Arabidopsis thaliana: one gene and its partners. Each later gene encodes a partner of the first gene's protein in a complex. Each region holds a gene or a part of one and is shown on either strand. Other genes may lie near its edges. The genes, in order: RANGAP1, WIT1 and WIT2.

What was found.
Region 2: RANGAP1 (region 1) and WIT1 share a complex: the UniProt entries of both Arabidopsis thaliana proteins name them as parts of the ran complex.
Region 3: RANGAP1 (region 1) and WIT2 share a complex: the UniProt entries of both Arabidopsis thaliana proteins name them as parts of the ran complex.

Annotation. Positions count from the first base shown.
Region 1 is NC_003074.8:23,322,413-23,327,417, forward strand, and holds RANGAP1 (RAN GTPase activating protein 1), read left to right. Parts: upstream 1-2,066; 5' UTR 2,067-2,420; intron 2,421-2,673; 5' UTR 2,674-2,695; coding exon 2,696-4,303; 3' UTR 4,304-4,501; downstream 4,502-5,005. Other genes in the region: CYCP1;1 (cyclin p1;1), read right to left, coding at 731-995, 1,081-1,481; CSP41A (chloroplast stem-loop binding protein of 41 kDa), read right to left, coding at 4,594-4,776, 4,855-5,005. UniProt on the Arabidopsis thaliana protein: GTPase activator for the nuclear Ras-related regulatory protein Ran, converting it to the putatively inactive GDP-bound state. Plays a role in spatial signaling during cell division.
Region 2 is NC_003076.8:3,631,830-3,637,481, reverse strand, and holds WIT1 (WPP domain-interacting protein 1), read right to left. Parts: upstream 3,834-5,652; 5' UTR 3,705-3,833; intron 3,524-3,704; 5' UTR 3,512-3,523; coding exon 2,914-3,511; intron 2,813-2,913; coding exon 1,623-2,812; intron 1,523-1,622; coding exon 1,343-1,522; intron 1,208-1,342; coding exon 1,064-1,207; 3' UTR 869-1,063; coding exon of another isoform or gene 558-868; 3' UTR 548-557; downstream 1-547. Other genes in the region: AT5G11400 (Protein kinase superfamily protein), read left to right, coding at 1-55, 140-206, 360-469, 558-868; DXPS3 (1-deoxy-D-xylulose 5-phosphate synthase 3), read right to left, coding at 4,232-4,381, 4,460-4,744, 4,829-5,107, 5,197-5,453, 5,538-5,652. UniProt on the Arabidopsis thaliana protein: Together with WIT2, required for the nuclear envelope docking of RANGAP proteins in root tips.
Region 3 is NC_003070.9:25,907,500-25,912,953, reverse strand, and holds WIT2 (WPP domain-interacting protein 2), read left to right. Parts: upstream 1-1,845; 5' UTR 1,846-1,911; intron 1,912-2,415; exon of another isoform or gene 2,416-2,461; 5' UTR 2,462-2,468; coding exon 2,469-2,946; intron 2,947-3,034; coding exon 3,035-4,146; intron 4,147-4,238; coding exon 4,239-4,385; coding exon of another isoform or gene 4,386-4,389; intron 4,390-4,573; coding exon 4,574-4,720; 3' UTR 4,721-4,823; downstream 4,824-5,454. Other genes in the region: AT1G68907 (Defensin-like (DEFL) family protein), read left to right, coding at 5,063-5,120, 5,214-5,446. UniProt on the Arabidopsis thaliana protein: Together with WIT1, required for the nuclear envelope docking of RANGAP proteins in root tips. Plays a role in nuclear shape determination.

The DNA of each region.
Region 1 (5,005 bases):
CAATGGTGGATTTATGATTAGGAGTGCATTCCATCAAGGTTAATGCAAACGAAGGGACGATAGAAGTGAACACTGATATTAACCGGCAAAAGAGCCGAGCTTTTGTGGGAACCTGAACCAGAGTCTCCTGATGACATTTCTATGGCAACTCCGCTCGCCATGCCATCAACTTGCCGACGTCAGGTCCATGTCAGCACCTTTGACCAGACCGTACACCTACAGGACTTGCTTGACAAAAACGCTAGTGGGATCAAACACATGAAAGATTACCGACAAGAGGGTCATCAGTATAACGTTTAAGGAGTCACATGATGATCCCAGGGGCTACCACTCACGGGACTCACTATCTCCAATCGCACCACCGTCCTCTGACCCTAAGAATAGCAATGGCGGTGGTGGTTCAGGTGCTTGTGGTAATGTTGAGGCTCCTGCTACTGCTGCTTAACCACCGCCCAAGATTAACGATACTCCTTGTAATGGCAAAGCAGCAGAGCCTCCTGTCGCTAATGTGAAATGCAGCAGCAGATGGAATAGTTGCGGTTTGATGTAAAGTAGAGATCTATTTAGTAGTTTAACCAGTATCAAGGAAACTATATTATAGCAACTTCTTAAAGAATGAGTTGGTAGAAATTTTCAGATTTTCTACTACACACAATTGTCACAAACAATCAATCATGCAAAAGAATCATCACTACTAAAACACAAAATAATCCTATCTTACCCTTGCCGATCAGCGTGCTGTGGTTTGAGAGCAGAGTGAGTCGGGTGTCCTCTTCTGCCAAGTCTCTTTGTTGGCTCGGCATGCTTCTTTTATGGGCCACTCGATCTGGAAGCCGTCTCTGTTCTGCTTTTCTAACTGACAACAGTGTGTGTGAAACGTCTGAGGATCTACCTGAAGCTTGAAGTCAAGGGTAAACAACAACTCCATCTCCAATCTGTTTAACTCTCTCGTAGTCACACCTCCCACTCTTGCGTAGTATGCATTGTTGAAATACCTGCACAACACCAGAGATCAATGAATCTATGATTGAAGACTTATTTGCGTGTTGAATTTGATACCAGGTTTAGTGAGTAACATACCTATCATCGAAGACTTTAGCAGCTAACATGACAGTTGTAATGATAAGGCGGTGGACATTAAGGGGTTTGAGAAGGGCTCGGGTCTTATGGAGAAAGTGATCAATGTAGATATGCGCAATGACGAAGCAGGAGGGACTGCAGCAAGAGTACTTGAAAATGCGATCCAAGTAGTGTGCAATACTGATCTCAGGGGGAGATCTCCCGTCAAACACGGTAACAGAGTCTGGCGATCCAAGCAGAATCTTGTCATCATGATTGAGTAACAGAGATCTCTCCAGAGAAGAAGAGAGGCGTGAGAGAACAGTCGGTGGCTTTTTCAATCGTTTGCCCTCAATAATAAGTCCTAACCTGAGGTATACATCCGAATCAATGAAAGCTGGATCGGTTGCGAGAGAGTCCATTTCTCCAACGAATCTGCAATGAAGATGATGATGTGCATAAAAATGGTAACTTTGAATAGGGTTTTGAAATAGAAGACGTATGTAGAGTAAATTTCAAGCAGGTGAACTAATTCCTAATCAAGAACCTAAACCCTCTCTATATGTCTCCCTACCTACCAAGTACCAAGAATCTTGAGAGTCAAGAATTAGGAATAAAGTGGAAGAAGCTTACGAGAATAAAGTGGAAGAAGTTGGTTCGTGAACTAGAGAAGGTCCGGAGAATGGAAGAAAGCAGATCTATCTCCGGCGCTTCTCCATTGTTTTTTTTTTGCTGCTCTGAAGCTTAGAAGCTAAAAGAAGCCGCGAAGAATTGTGAAGAAGAAGGAAAGTTTCCATTATTGCCTTTTATTTTATTTTATTTAATAATTTAAGGGTTTTTGATTTTAAAATGAATAATAATAATAAATACAAAAAAGAAAGGACAGAAGGAAGGAGTGATGTGTGGTAGAGAGAGACAGTTCACCGTCGGCGAGTCCAGCTGGCGGTGGTGGGAGCCCACCGTGTCACCTTAATCATCGCTGCGCTGCCCTGTCTTTTTTCCATTATTAATTTTTAGCAAGAAGAAGACTGGGCTTTCTAAATTAGTTATTAATGGGCTTTGGGCTTTCGTGGTTAGGGTTGTGTAGGGGCTTAATCGTCATTTCGGAGATAGAATAAACCCTAATCTCCATGGATGGGCTCTCCGATGTTTGTCTTTTTGATTTTTGAAATTTGATTTTCAAAAATAAACTAAAGCATCATTGCCTCCCATTATCGTCACGCACGCAGATCAATGATTCTCTCACTCTGCTTCTCATTCACGCTTCTTCTTTGAATTCACTTTTCTATTCCTTTCTTTTTCTCCGTCCGAGAGAGTATAGAGAGACCCATTTCTTCGATCCATCCGCTGAGAAAAAAAAGGTACCGTCGTATTGTTCTCTCATGTTTCTGGGTTTCTTTTTGTTTCGAAATATATTCTTCTCGTTTGCAGTGTGATTTTGAGGGTTTCCTTGTCTAAAAAATGCAGTTTTTAATTAATGGATTTACAATAGAAATGTAGTTAGATTCTTCGACACCATCTTCGTTTTCGATTGGATCTACATGTTATGCTCTCTCTTTTTCCTTGGAATACTATGTCAGATTGAGTAATGGTTGTCCTTGTATTGAATTACAGAAGAAAACCAAGCAGTAGTAGAATGGATCATTCAGCGAAAACCACACAGAACCGTGTTTTGTCAGTGAAGATGTGGCCACCGAGTAAGAGTACCCGTCTCATGCTTGTTGAGCGGATGACCAAGAACATTACCACCCCTTCCATCTTCTCCAGGAAGTACGGTCTTTTGTCTGTTGAAGAGGCTGAGCAAGACGCCAAGCGCATTGAAGATTTGGCCTTTGCTACTGCCAACAAACACTTCCAGAACGAGCCTGATGGTGATGGCACTTCTGCTGTTCACGTCTATGCTAAAGAATCCAGCAAGCTCATGCTTGATGTCATCAAACGTGGTCCACAGGAAGAATCCGAGGTTGAGGTGAGCAAGGATGGTGATGTCTTTTTTGATATATCTGGTGGGAGCAGAGCTTTTATTGAAGAAGAGGAGGCACGCGACCTTTTGAGGCCTCTGGCTGACCCGCGTAACTCCTATACCAAAATCCGTTTTAGCAACAGGAGTTTTGGGTCTGAAGCAGCCAAATTTGCTGCGAGCGTTTTGTCTTCCATCAAGGATCAGCTGACGGAAGTGGATCTCTCGGATTTTGTTGCAGGAAGACCAGAGGCTGAAGCGCTTGAAGTCATGAATATGTTTTCATCTGCTTTAGAGGGTTCTAAGCTTAGGTATCTGAATCTCTCGGACAATGCTTTGGGAGAAAAGGGAATTAGGGCATTTGCTTCTCTCATCAATTCTCAGCATGACTTGGAGGAGCTCTATCTGATGAATGATGGCATTTCCGAGGATGCTGCACGTGCAGTTCGTGAGCTTCTCCCTTCTACTGACAAAATCAGGGTTCTTCAGTTTCATAACAACATGACAGGAGATGAAGGAGCAACTGCCATTGCAGAGATTGTCAGGGAGTGTCCATCTTTGGAAGATTTCCGGTGTTCATCTACAAGGATTGGTTCAGAAGGTGGTGTTGCACTAGCTGAAGCACTTGAACACTGTAGCCACTTGAAGAAACTTGATCTTCGTGACAACATGTTTGGAGTCGAAGGTGGAATTGCCCTGGCCAAGACTTTATCAGTCTTGACTCATTTAACCGAGATCTATATGAGTTACCTGAACTTGGAGGATGAGGGAACAGAGGCACTTTCTGAAGCTCTACTTAAGTCCGCCCCTTCTCTTGAAGTTCTAGAATTGGCTGGTAACGACATTACTGTAAAATCCACTGGAAATTTGGCAGCTTGCATCGCCTCCAAACAGTCTCTTGCAAAGCTGAATTTATCTGAGAATGAACTCAAAGACGAAGGGACTATCTTAATTGCAAAGGCAGTTGAAGGTCATGATCAGTTAGTTGAAGTTGACCTGAGCACCAACATGATCAGAAGAGCTGGGGCAAGGGCCTTGGCACAAACTGTTGTGAAGAAAAATACTTTCAAGCTTCTGAACATCAATGGAAACTTCATATCTGAGGAAGGTATTGACGAGGTAAATGACATGTTTAAGGACTGTCTGGACAAGCTTGTTCCTTTGGACGACAATGACCCTGAAGGAGAAGATTTTGAAGATGAAGACGAAGAGGAGGAAGGCGAAGATGGCAATGAATTGGAATCAAAGCTTGGAAGTCTGAAAATCAAGCAAGGGGAGGAATGATGTGATGCTTTTGTTGCTATGTAGGTAGGTTCAGTGTTATCTCTCTTTCTGGATTCGGTAAACATAGTTAAGTAGGTATCTAAGGATCTAAGATTGTCTTCAGATTTATTTCCTTGAAGCGAAATTGTTATCTTCGTGTAAACCAGAATTGTTGTTGGTCTTTTGGTTATGAATATTTAAATGATCTTTTAGCTGAAATCATGTTCATCTCATATGAGCCGTGGGAAATGAAAGAGCACAGTGTAGCATAAGAAGTTACAAATGAAGAACAAACTTTATGGCGTATTTGATCAAGCGGCCACTGGAGTTTTGAGGGCTTCGAGTATCTTATCGTCTAACTCAAACTTAATCTCTTTCTTGTCTCTGCCAATCTTCACATACTCTTCGAATCTCTCCTTGAGATCTTCAGGCAGATTCGTTTTACTCTCCCACCCTAATAAGTCCTTAGCGGCTCTTGGCTCTGCGTAGAAATGCTGCGACCATACAAAGACAAGTTTGTAAAGCTACTAATGAATGAAGTAGGAGAAGAGCTTCTACAGGGTTTCGTTTACCATGTTTCTGAATAGAAAAGCCTTCTTGGCGTCAACCCCAATGGCTTTAGGGTCATAATGAACGATCTCAACAGTTTTGCCAGCAGCGGCAGCACAGAGCTTGGCCATACCGTCAAGAGTAACGGCTCTGTCGCTAACGCAGTTGAAGATG
Region 2 (5,652 bases), on another chromosome or scaffold:
TTCTTGGTATTTGAATACTCGCACAAAGGAAGTTTGGACAGTCACATTTTCGGAAGTTAAGATCTTTTCTAGCTAATGGGTCCATTCTAAGATATAGACAACTATTGCATTACCTATAGTTTTACGTTTCCCTCAACAGAAGAAGAAGAGGCATTGCCATGGGAAATACGGGTTAAGATAGCCATTGGAACAGCTCAAGGTCTCGCGTTTCTTCACTCGATCAAGAACAGCCCCCTAAACCGAGAACTCAGGATGCATAACATTATGCTTGACGAGGTGGTAATTGTTTTATTTCCATCCTTCTTCTCTCTTTTTGTTTATGATCTTAGAAATTAATATCTAAGTTTGGATTTCATCAGCAATACAATGCAAAAACTGTTCTATCTCGAACCAACCAAACGAAGCTTGGTAGATGAAGGTCTCAAGAGGGGAAGATTTACATACCTATCTCCTGAATGGGGATCGTTAGGTACACGAAAGCATTAACTTTCGTTTTACAAATTCTGAAAAATCTTTCGTTGTTCAACGTTAAGACAATTGTGTAATGTATGTGTTAGGTATTTTGGATATGACGACCGATGTTTACATTTTTGGTATGATCTTGCTTGAACTTTTAATGGGTTCCAAGGATAGAAAAAAGATTAAGGAAGAGCAAGGCTTAGTAGATTACTGGACCTCATCTTTCTTGCCAGATAATTATAAGATTGAGGAAATAATCGATCCCCGACTTGGGAGCGATTATTCTGCGAATGCGGCGACACAGATGGGCACACTCATCAACCGATGCACAGCGCATAATACAAAGAAACGGCCATTGATGCAACAAGTATTGGATGGTCTTAATCATATTGCAGAGATTAAGGACTAATGTGTAGAGAGGTACTAATACTTGACACTGAAAAAGATATTGTAATAACACAAAATACCAGTGTCGGGGTTAATTATATAGCAGATTTTCTGTAACTGGGTAGCCAAAAAGAACTAAAATATAATCTGTCATTGTAAACTATGACAAAGAGAGTACAAAACTGGAGACTGAGATTTTGGAAAAAGTTAAAGACTCTTACATGTTTTGCTGGGATATAACATAAGCTATCGACGATATTAAGATCACGAGTATTGCAACGAGAATGTGTTTGAACCTAAGAGCTCCAACATCTAATCTCCTTACACTTCCAATATCTGATTTTGAACCTGTTTCTTCCTCCTACAAAAAGGTGACCACGGTTACTAACGTCAAGCTTAGATTCATAATATTCGATTGTTGGACTAAAGCTTAATGGTATAACTCACTTAGATGCCAGCAAAAGATCAGATTTTTTGTAAGGTAGAATTATGTTACCTCTGGATTAGTTAATGAAATGAAGGTGGCTTGAAGTCTACTTCCTTGATGGCAAGAAGAAGCATTCTGGTCCGACTTTGGTGAAACTTCACTTCCATTGCCACTTTCCATATAACCAGTTTTTCCAACCTTTTTCAACTTCACCATCAACACACAATTCTCTCTTGACAGGTTAGTTATCTGCAAATAAGTCACTATATCTAAGAATCCACTGTGATGATGATGAAGCTACAAGGACATGAACTAACAGCGAACTGGGGTTTTACGAATATGGTAATACCTGTTTATGAAGTCGTTCTCGTTCAGCAGCTAGTTGCATGACCAGTTTTTTCATGATCTTGTTATGTACCCCGATATCTTTGGCGGTTCGCAATTTTCTTTCTTCTGCTTGCTGTAAATATTTCTCCCCTTCTTTCAATCTACCCTTAAAGAATTTCAGTTCTTCGTTGACCTCTGCGTTAGACTCAGATACCATGATCAACTTCTCTTCGGTAATGTCGGCCCTGTTTTCAGCCTTCAAAACTTTTGATTTTAGATCCTCGATCACATCCTCCATATCAGAAACAGTAGAATATAACAAGTTCTGCTTTTCTTTACTTGCTTCAACAGCTGCAACTGCATGTTCTAGTTGTAGATCTGAGTCCCTCAAGTGTTTCTCAAGCGATGCTAACTTATGTATAGTGAAGCCCTTGTCTCTGAAATTCCCCAACTCGTCTTGAAGCTCCTTTTTGCTTTCTTCTAGGATTTTGCACTTGGATTCTGTTTCCTCAGCCCTTGCTTCAGTTTTGGCTAATTTATCTTTCAGTTCCTCGTTGATACGTTCAAGATCTGTTATCAGAGCACCAGAAGTAGCATCCGCATCTTCTGTTTGAATCCCATATTCATTCAGTTGTTCTTCAAGGGAGCTAACTTTCTCACTTAATGTGGAATTCTCAGTGTTCAACAAAATCAATTTTTCTTCAGCCTCTTGCAAACTCTCTTTTAAGCCTTCTGTTTGTGCCACAAGAAAGTCAGCAAGTCTTGCATTGCTGCTATCAAGCTTGTGCAAGGCGCATTCCTTAGCTTCTAAACGTTCCTTTGAATCAACAAGCTTAGACTTCAAGTTGTCTTCCCGCTTAAAAGAGCCACTTAGATTGAACTGAAGAATCTGGAGTTTTCCAGACATCTCCTTTGACGTTCCCTTAAAGACTTCAGCAGCATTATCTGCCTCAAGCCACCTGGAGAACGCATCTTCGGTTACTTCTTCCATGTAGACAACATCCTGCTCAGAAGAATACAGTTTCATCTCTAGTTCTCGTTCAGTATTTCTTGATTCACTTAGTTTCTTCTCAAGTTCCATCTCCTTAGCCAAAGATTTCTCAAGCATCCTTAAAACATTCCTTTGCTGATCAGCAGTCTGCATATTGATCTTAGCGCTCAGATCACCAAACTCACCATCGTTTTGAGACACTGAAGTTTGCCCTCCAGACCCTGCAAAAACAAAGTTATATAGTATTCATTAAAGCCTGAAATTTTTCTCACCAAGTGATCATCACAACAAGGTTAAAAAGAAAGCTAGATTGGTCACTTACAGCTTCCTTGTTCATCCAAACCAGAAGATAACCTCTGAAAGTTAGAAGATTGCTTCTTCATTTCCACTACTTGTTCCATTAACTGACCCAAAGATTGTTCAGTATCATTCAACTTCCCTTCCAAATCCAAGAAAGCTTCTCCATCATGTTGAAACGGAGATATCATGACACGGGCGCTTTGAATCTCGTTCTGGAGAAAACCAAGAAGCGATTCAAGTTCTTTCACCTCTGAATTGAGAATTGAAGACAAGAGATCAAACTCCAATGCCTTCTCAGCAGAATCATCATCATCATCAACATTACTCGAAGGCTCTTCTTCATCTTCTTCTTTCTTAGAAACAAAAGACTCAAAATCATTTTCCCTCGTGCCGAGTTGCATAGTAAGAAGACTAAGATTGACCAATTTCTCAGAGACAAAAGCAAAATCCAATTCAACTTTTGTCAAAACTTCGCCTGCACTTGAAAGTTGAGGATTCATAACTTGCCCAGTAAGCGAGAGATCTTCAAAAAAGCTTTCTTTCGTTGAGCTTGGCTCAGGTACAAGGCTGTCGTTGTCATCGACAGAGACAGTTCTATCATGTTCCGTTTCTGTTTCCATCTTTCAATATAACTGCAACAGAGAAAGTATAATCACTTTTGTCAAGTAATTGAATTAAGAGATCGGAAACAATAGAGGTTCTGCTAAATCACAAGAACTTTTCGATTCCTGAGGAAATCTAGGTAAAAGTTCCGATTTTTTACTTGATTCCGATCGAGATTGAAGCAAAATGAATGAAAAGGAGAAAACTTACAGTTAGAAACGAACGACACGACGATTAAGATCAAAGACGCTTCCTTTAGAAGGAAATGATCGAGAGATACAGAGATCGAGAAGAAGAAGAAGAAGAAGGACTCGGATTTGTAATTAAACGAATATTGTTTGACAGTAACTCTTTACTAATTTTTTAAGATGCTTTTATTAAAAAAAAACTCGAGTATCGAAAATACACGTCTCTGTTCTATATTTTGTTTGTTTCCAGATTTGGGACATGCGACTGTTACACCAAATAGACTTGACAACAACAACAACAACAACAACAACAACAACAACAACAACAACAACTAACTGAGAATATGAAAACTGAGATACCGCCTAAAAAGTAATTGAATTTATTTTAGTCAATTCTCAACTCTACATTTACAATACATAGCAGATTGCTATTCCAAAATCAGGATATCAAATGGGCTCTTGAATTCAGAATGTATTATCTACAAATTCTGTTTAAGAAACTCCTCTTTAAGTCTCTTGTGAAGGTAAATCCCATATGAGAAGGTTAAGCTAGCTCATGAGAAGCAATGCTTCACGAGTTCGGCCCAAAAGACTCAAAGCGGTTGCTGCTATGTGATGTCCAGTTAGCCCTGCAAGAGCAAGCTGCTCCCTAGGCGATGCTTCTTCTATGTAGCCATCCGGTAACACAATGGGTCTCCACTACACAATGTTAAGAGCAAAATTACAACTTAAAACCAAAAACAGGTGAGAACATGAGGTTTTGATTTGTCTCTCTACCTTGATATTCCCATCGAGCTGGCCATCGAGGGCTATGAACTGCGCCACATGAGAACCAAACCCTCCAACACAGCCTTCTTCGACAGTGATAAGGAATTTGTGGTTCTGACAAAGATCACGCACAAGCTTGATGTCTAGGGGTTTGCAAAATCTTGCATCAGCTACAGTCACGTTCAAACCGAGTTTCGAGAGAAGCGAGTGAGCATGAAGACAATTCTGAACCATCGCTCCATAACCAAGTAAAGCCACATCTTGACCTTCTACGAGAACTCTTCCTCTTCCGATCTACTCTAATATGATAAAGCAGTTCTTGTGTCACCACGGTCTGTTTTTGCAACCAAAAGATTTGAAGATTAGATTGGAACTTACTTCAATTGGTAATCCAGTGGGGACAAGATAATTCATGTTGACGATGGAGCCTCTAGGGAACCGGAAACATACTGGGCGGTCAGTGACATAAGCAGCAGTTGCAACCATATTTACAAGCTCATCCTCATCGGCTGGAGCCATGGCTATCATGTTTGGTAAGGATGACATGAAAGCTATGTCAAAAGCTCCACACTGCACTGGACCATCGGATCCAACAAGCCCTGCGCTTGTAATAACAAATCGCACCGCCTTTCTCTGCCGATCTACATCATGGACCACCTAAAGAAACCATCAAAGACACTAAGGCCATTTGCTTGTAATAAAAACCTTTTAGAACAATTTTATTTTGTGCTAGAGGAAAGTGAAACCTGGTCATAAGCTCTTTGTAAAAAAGCAGAGGGAATAATACAAAATGGCTTGAGACCTCCAGAAGAAAGACCAGCAGAGAATGTGACAGCATGCTGTTCAGCCATTCCGACATTGAAAAATCTGTCTGGAAATCTCTCCTGAAATGTAAGAAGTGACGGATCCATCTCCATTCCTGCATGAACTACAACAATATCTCTATCCTTTTCTGCCTCCATCACCAAAGCCTCAACAAAGCAATCACTGTAAGTGCGTCTGTCTGAGACAAAAAAAAAAACTACAAAGTCAAGATTTTGGATAAGCATATATTCTCAGAAAAAATAACATAACCAGACAGATATACCTTTGACCATGATGTTCTTTACGGTTTCTGCATCTCGGTTTCCCTCTGTGATCACGTGGACCAACACAGGACCCATTGAATCTAGAGAAGATACTTCTCGGAGAACACAAACTAG
Region 3 (5,454 bases), on another chromosome or scaffold:
AAATATGAAATAAATTACCGATCGATGTCAAAGTTACTTGATTTTAGTTAATAAAAATTAACAACTCGGTGTATTTTATTAACTAGGTAAATGATTATTGACGCTAATTGTTTAGTTTTCTCCTAACACAAATTCTTTTCTTTAATACGGGTCATGAACAAGTGTAAACGTATTAACTAGTGGAAAAATGATTAAAATAAAATAAAGGAAGAGTAGATGGACGGTCCGGTTAACGCAAAGATCGAGGTCATTATTAGTTGGCCTTGGGACTTGCAATTTCCAAAGACCTAAGAAATTAAACCTTATAATAATTGAATTCTCCAGCCCACACCTTCACTTTATCTTCTCTTTTTCTATTTTTTAATTCCCTAATTATTAACCATAGTTTAACTTTCTATATCATAGTTTAATCTCTTGCTGCATAATTAAACGTCAATATTGTTTATCTCCACTATGTAACTAGTCATTTTTTTACACATAAGAGCCATACAAGAGAGCTCGTAATTAGTTTTTACTAACTATACCACCCATTATCACCACATGTGTTATACTCTTTCCATTTCATAATGAAAAACTATTTTGGACTTTTAGGCATATATATAGTATTAAAATCTATGTTTGACGACAAGAAAATAGTATCAGTTTTTTAAGTAATTCACTAGTAGTATATCTTACATATAAAGAATGTCTAATTCAAACACTATATATGACAAACCTGATATAAAATATATTATCAGTAATATTATCAAATTGTATAACGCTTGGAACCATAAAAAAAAAAGGAACTAAATTTTAGTTTAACTATGCTCTAAAATGGTCAAGTTATCAACGACAACTAGGGAATAAAGAAATTTATTTTAGCAATAATTACCTTGACATGTCTTAATAATAATCATCTAATCTCGCATGCATAGATTCCTTACCTCGAATGTCTTAGCATGCACTATATAACAAGGCATGAACAACGTAACTAAATGTCCATATATATACTAAACAAACAATCTTATGATCTATGTATTTCAGTACATGATATCACACCAAGTTGCTCTATACGTAGTCACGGCCACTTAAGAGCCCAATCACAATCACCCTCGTCTCATCCTAGTGATCTTTCTGTCATATACTTAACACTTCACCATTATAACTGCTTTCAAAAACAGATCATTCACATTTTCACCACCATATAACTAAACCATCATAAACAAAGTAATCACATCATGTAGACTATCAATTTAACATCTCCTCTACATATCCACAATTACGTTGGTGTCAAGTCTCAAACATATGTTGACAGTGAAACAATTTATCTCTCTCATGTTTAGTCACTCACGGTCACGAAATTGAATTAGAGTGGATACATGTCATAAATTCAATAATATTATCATTACACACATGCTATTCTATAATAAATTGCATTAACTTTGGGAATTAAATTGTCCACTAACAAAAAAAAGATACATTAAATTTTTTGAATTTTTGAATAAAATTATAATCTTAAATGTGAGTGTATCATGTTATTATCTAGACGTTACAGACGAAATATAATTCTAAATCAGAATTTTTGAAAAAAAAACTTTTGAAATATTACATTAATTGCTAACTATATTACAGTTATATTTAGGCCTTTTTAGCTGTAACCAATAAGAGCAGCTTAAGCAGTCGTTCTTCTTCCTTACCAATAATTCAACGTCCACCACAACATAACACTCACGCTAACGTAAGCGAAAACGCTAGCATGCGCGGCTCTTTCTTTATCGTTGGATGACTTGTAAACAAATTCCGCGCATTTTAGCATCAATTTTTCTGACGCCAGAAAACACCGTACCATTCTTGAAAGGCAAAATTGGAGTTCGTTGACGGAGTAAAAGCTCTCTCTGTTTTTTCATCTACTCGAACTACAGATTTTCATCGGTAAAGTTTTGATCTTTTCAGATCCTCTTTGAATCTTCAACACTCTGTTTTGTCTGTTTCCAAGTTTTAGTTTTGTTCTTGTTGAATTTTGATATTTTTGTTCTGGTTTTATGGTAAAGTTTGAATCTCGTTGTAGTAAATTGTTAAATTAGTAAGAATTTCTGGTGGATCTCTTTGAAAATGCTGAGTCTTTACAAGTATGTAACATTAACTGACTTGGCTTATTGGTCTCTTTCTTGACAAGTGGATTCTTCTCAAATTTCACTTCTCTTTGCTTAGGTTTTGTTCAAAGTAAGGATTTGATTTAGTTGCACTTACTATAATGTGTTTTTGGGTACTTGGATTACATTTTCAATTATTTGCTTGGATGTTCTGGTTTCAGTTGATGAATGATTGGTTTCATATAGAAGAATTGAGCTATGACTAGTGCTAGGATTGGAACTGCGATACCTCGCATTAGAAAGATAGTGTCATTTCACCTAAGTATCCATTTTTTTGGATTAGTTTTTTTTTCTTGTTCCTAGCTAAGCTTTGAACTTTTGATTTTTAGGCCAAGAATGGAGGAAATCATTAGGGAGGACTATTTTGAAGCTTTGTCTAGTAGGAATGAGGAAGAGCAAGAGATGTTGAGGATGTTGACAAAACTAGAGATAGACTCAGCTTATACTAGTGAAAAGTTGATGAATCTGCATGTTCTTCTTATGCATCTTTTGGCATGGGATAATGATCTTGAAGGGATGGGGACACTTGATTCTTCTCCAGCATCCTTTGAAAAAGCTTTGACGTTTGATCTGTTATGCGGTATATTGGAGTCAGAAGTGAAGGAGGTGGACGAGGTTTTGGATGTGTTGGAAGCTCAAATAGTTGACACTTCTTACAAGATATCTTCTTGCAAACACGGAAATTATATTGTTATTGAAGGAAAGTTGGGTGAATCTGCAGAATCATTGAAGCAGTCTAGAGGACAAGTCTCAGAGATCACTTTGCAATTAGCTCAGCTCCGAAGAACACTTCATTACATAAGAAATGGAACAAGTAATCACTTTTGATATATGGTTGTTTTAAAGTTATTGCTGCTTTGGTTTTCTTAGCTTCTTGTTGTTATTGACAAAAATGTTGGCAGGTGAAAACGAGGAGTCAGTGGAGTTAAGGCAGAAATATGCGCTGAAACCATCGGACTTGAGGCATAAAAATGCTCTGAGGATGCTGGAGAAGTCATTGTCAAGAGAGCTAGAGCTTGAGAAGAAGTTAATGGAATTCCAGCAAAATGAGGAACAGTTGAAACTCAAGCTACACTACACAGAGGAGGTATCTTCTCGGATGGAAGAAGCATCAGAGTTTATATGGGGACGGTTTCTAGAGGCAGATAATTCTTCTGAGGTTCTTACAGGTATTTCAAAGGAACTTGTTGGTCGTCTACAGATTCTCCAGTTTAGTCTGAATGGGTCAGCACAACGGGAATCCGAACTTAAGTCTAAGCTTGAAGATTGCACTGTACAACTGGAAGCGAAAGATCTTCTGGTGCAAAAGCTTGAGGGAACAATTTCAGAAAATAGTGAAATAGTTTCAGAAGTACTCACTTTGAGGGAATATGTGAAGTCAGCTGAACAAAAGCTGAAAAATACCGACCTTGAGCTGAAAAGTGTCAACGCCTCCAAACAAGAAATCCTGGTACATCTAGCTGAAATGGAAAATGCAAATGAGTCGGTCAAAGAAAACCTTTTCGAGGCTGAAAGCAGAGCTGAGAGTGGAGAAGCTAAGATTAAAGAGCTAGATGCTGCAAATCTTGAACTTACTGAGGAACTAAATTTTCTCAAAGATGCGGATGATAAAAAGACGAAGAAGGTGAACTCTCTCGAGAAGCAAGTCAGGGAATTAGAAGTTCAAGTACAAAACTCCAAGGTATCATCAGAAGCAAATCAAGAACAGCAGAACATGTTGTATTCAGCAATATGGGACATGGAGACCTTAATAGAAGATCTCAAGTCTAAAGCCTCAAAAGCCGAGAGTAGAACGGAGACAGTGGAGGAGCAATGCATTGTGCTTTCTACCACAAACTCTGAACTCAACAAAGACGTGAGCTTTTTGAGGCAAAAAGCCAAATCCTTAGAAGCAATGTTGGATCTAGCTAACAATGAGAAAGAGAGATATGCACAAGAAATAACTACAAGGAACAAAGTTTTGATGGATATGATGTTGCAATTATCCAGTGAAAGGGAGCGTATACAAGAGCAGGTACTTTTTGGCTAAGTGCATTATTGTTTTCTTTAGGCCAGGGACACAAGAGCATAGCATTGTTGACACATTAATGTTTTTTCTTTCTCCAGCTATATTCTTTGGCAAAAGAAAACAAAATACTTAGAGTGAATCAGTGCTCAAATACATACCAAAGAAATGGATCTTATGCTGGGGACAAAGAGCTGTCGTTTCACGCAGATGGTCACGAAATAGAGGCACTTGCTGAAAGTCTGCAGGCAGGTATTCAGTTTATTTTCCACAAGAAAAACACGAAATTCCTTGTACTTTCTTGTGTATTAGTGTATAGCTTTGATGCTTCAGAATGGTCGATGGGGCAAATATAGATCATTGTTGGGTCATGGATGTGAAAACCAGACATCTCTTGGTTACTAATCTTATGTGGGTCTTTGCTTTCTTTGAACAGGAGGATGAGAGAACAAGGGAAGAACCAGAGAAGCAGTCTGTGTCTGAAAAGAGTAGCGAGATCAGAAGAGCAATCAAATTGAAACACATACTAGTTGTGGCCTTAGTTTTTGTGCTGTTTTGTTCATTCTTTGGTGTGACTTATTAAGGAAATATATCTTAGTGAAAATGTCTTGGCCATAGCATTCGCCATTTGTACATTGTGTTGTAAATACTCATTTATCTTGTATTTATTACAAGCAATGTATCTCAAGTGTTGGTTTATCTCCTCTACAAAAACAACACATTTCAATTATTAAGTGATTTCCTAAGATGGAGTGATCTCACCAGTTGGACTAAAAAAGAATCAGACTAAATTTGGTAAAACCTTCACACAAAAGATTTGTTGCCATTTAACTTCTTTCTCTATAAGAGAACAATCTGAATTCTCTGTTCATCACTTTTACAAAAAAAAAAGAAACAAGAAAAGATTTTGAGGTTACAATTAGTAATGGAGAAAACGTCTCTCAAGCTTGTCTTCTTGTTCTCCCTCACAGTCATAGCATTGTGTAATGCTTCCTCTATAAAAACTTCTTCTTTGTTATAAAATGTTTTGCTTTGGTTTTTGTTTTGAAGTTTTATTATGGTGTGTACTTGTGAAGGTTTGTCTTTGAGTGCCGCGAGAGAGATGGCGAAAGAAGAAGTGAATTGCATAGGCGGCCATTGTCCTGATGGAAAGAAGGACTGTAACTGCTTGCCTCTTATAGCACCAACAATGGACATATATGAGACCAATGAGTCTTGCCGCACAGATAACGAATGCATCAAGTACTGTCCTAAGGGCTGCAAGATTGTTGACTGTAATTTTGGAACCTGTTTGTGTGAGTACTGTTAAAGAAATTA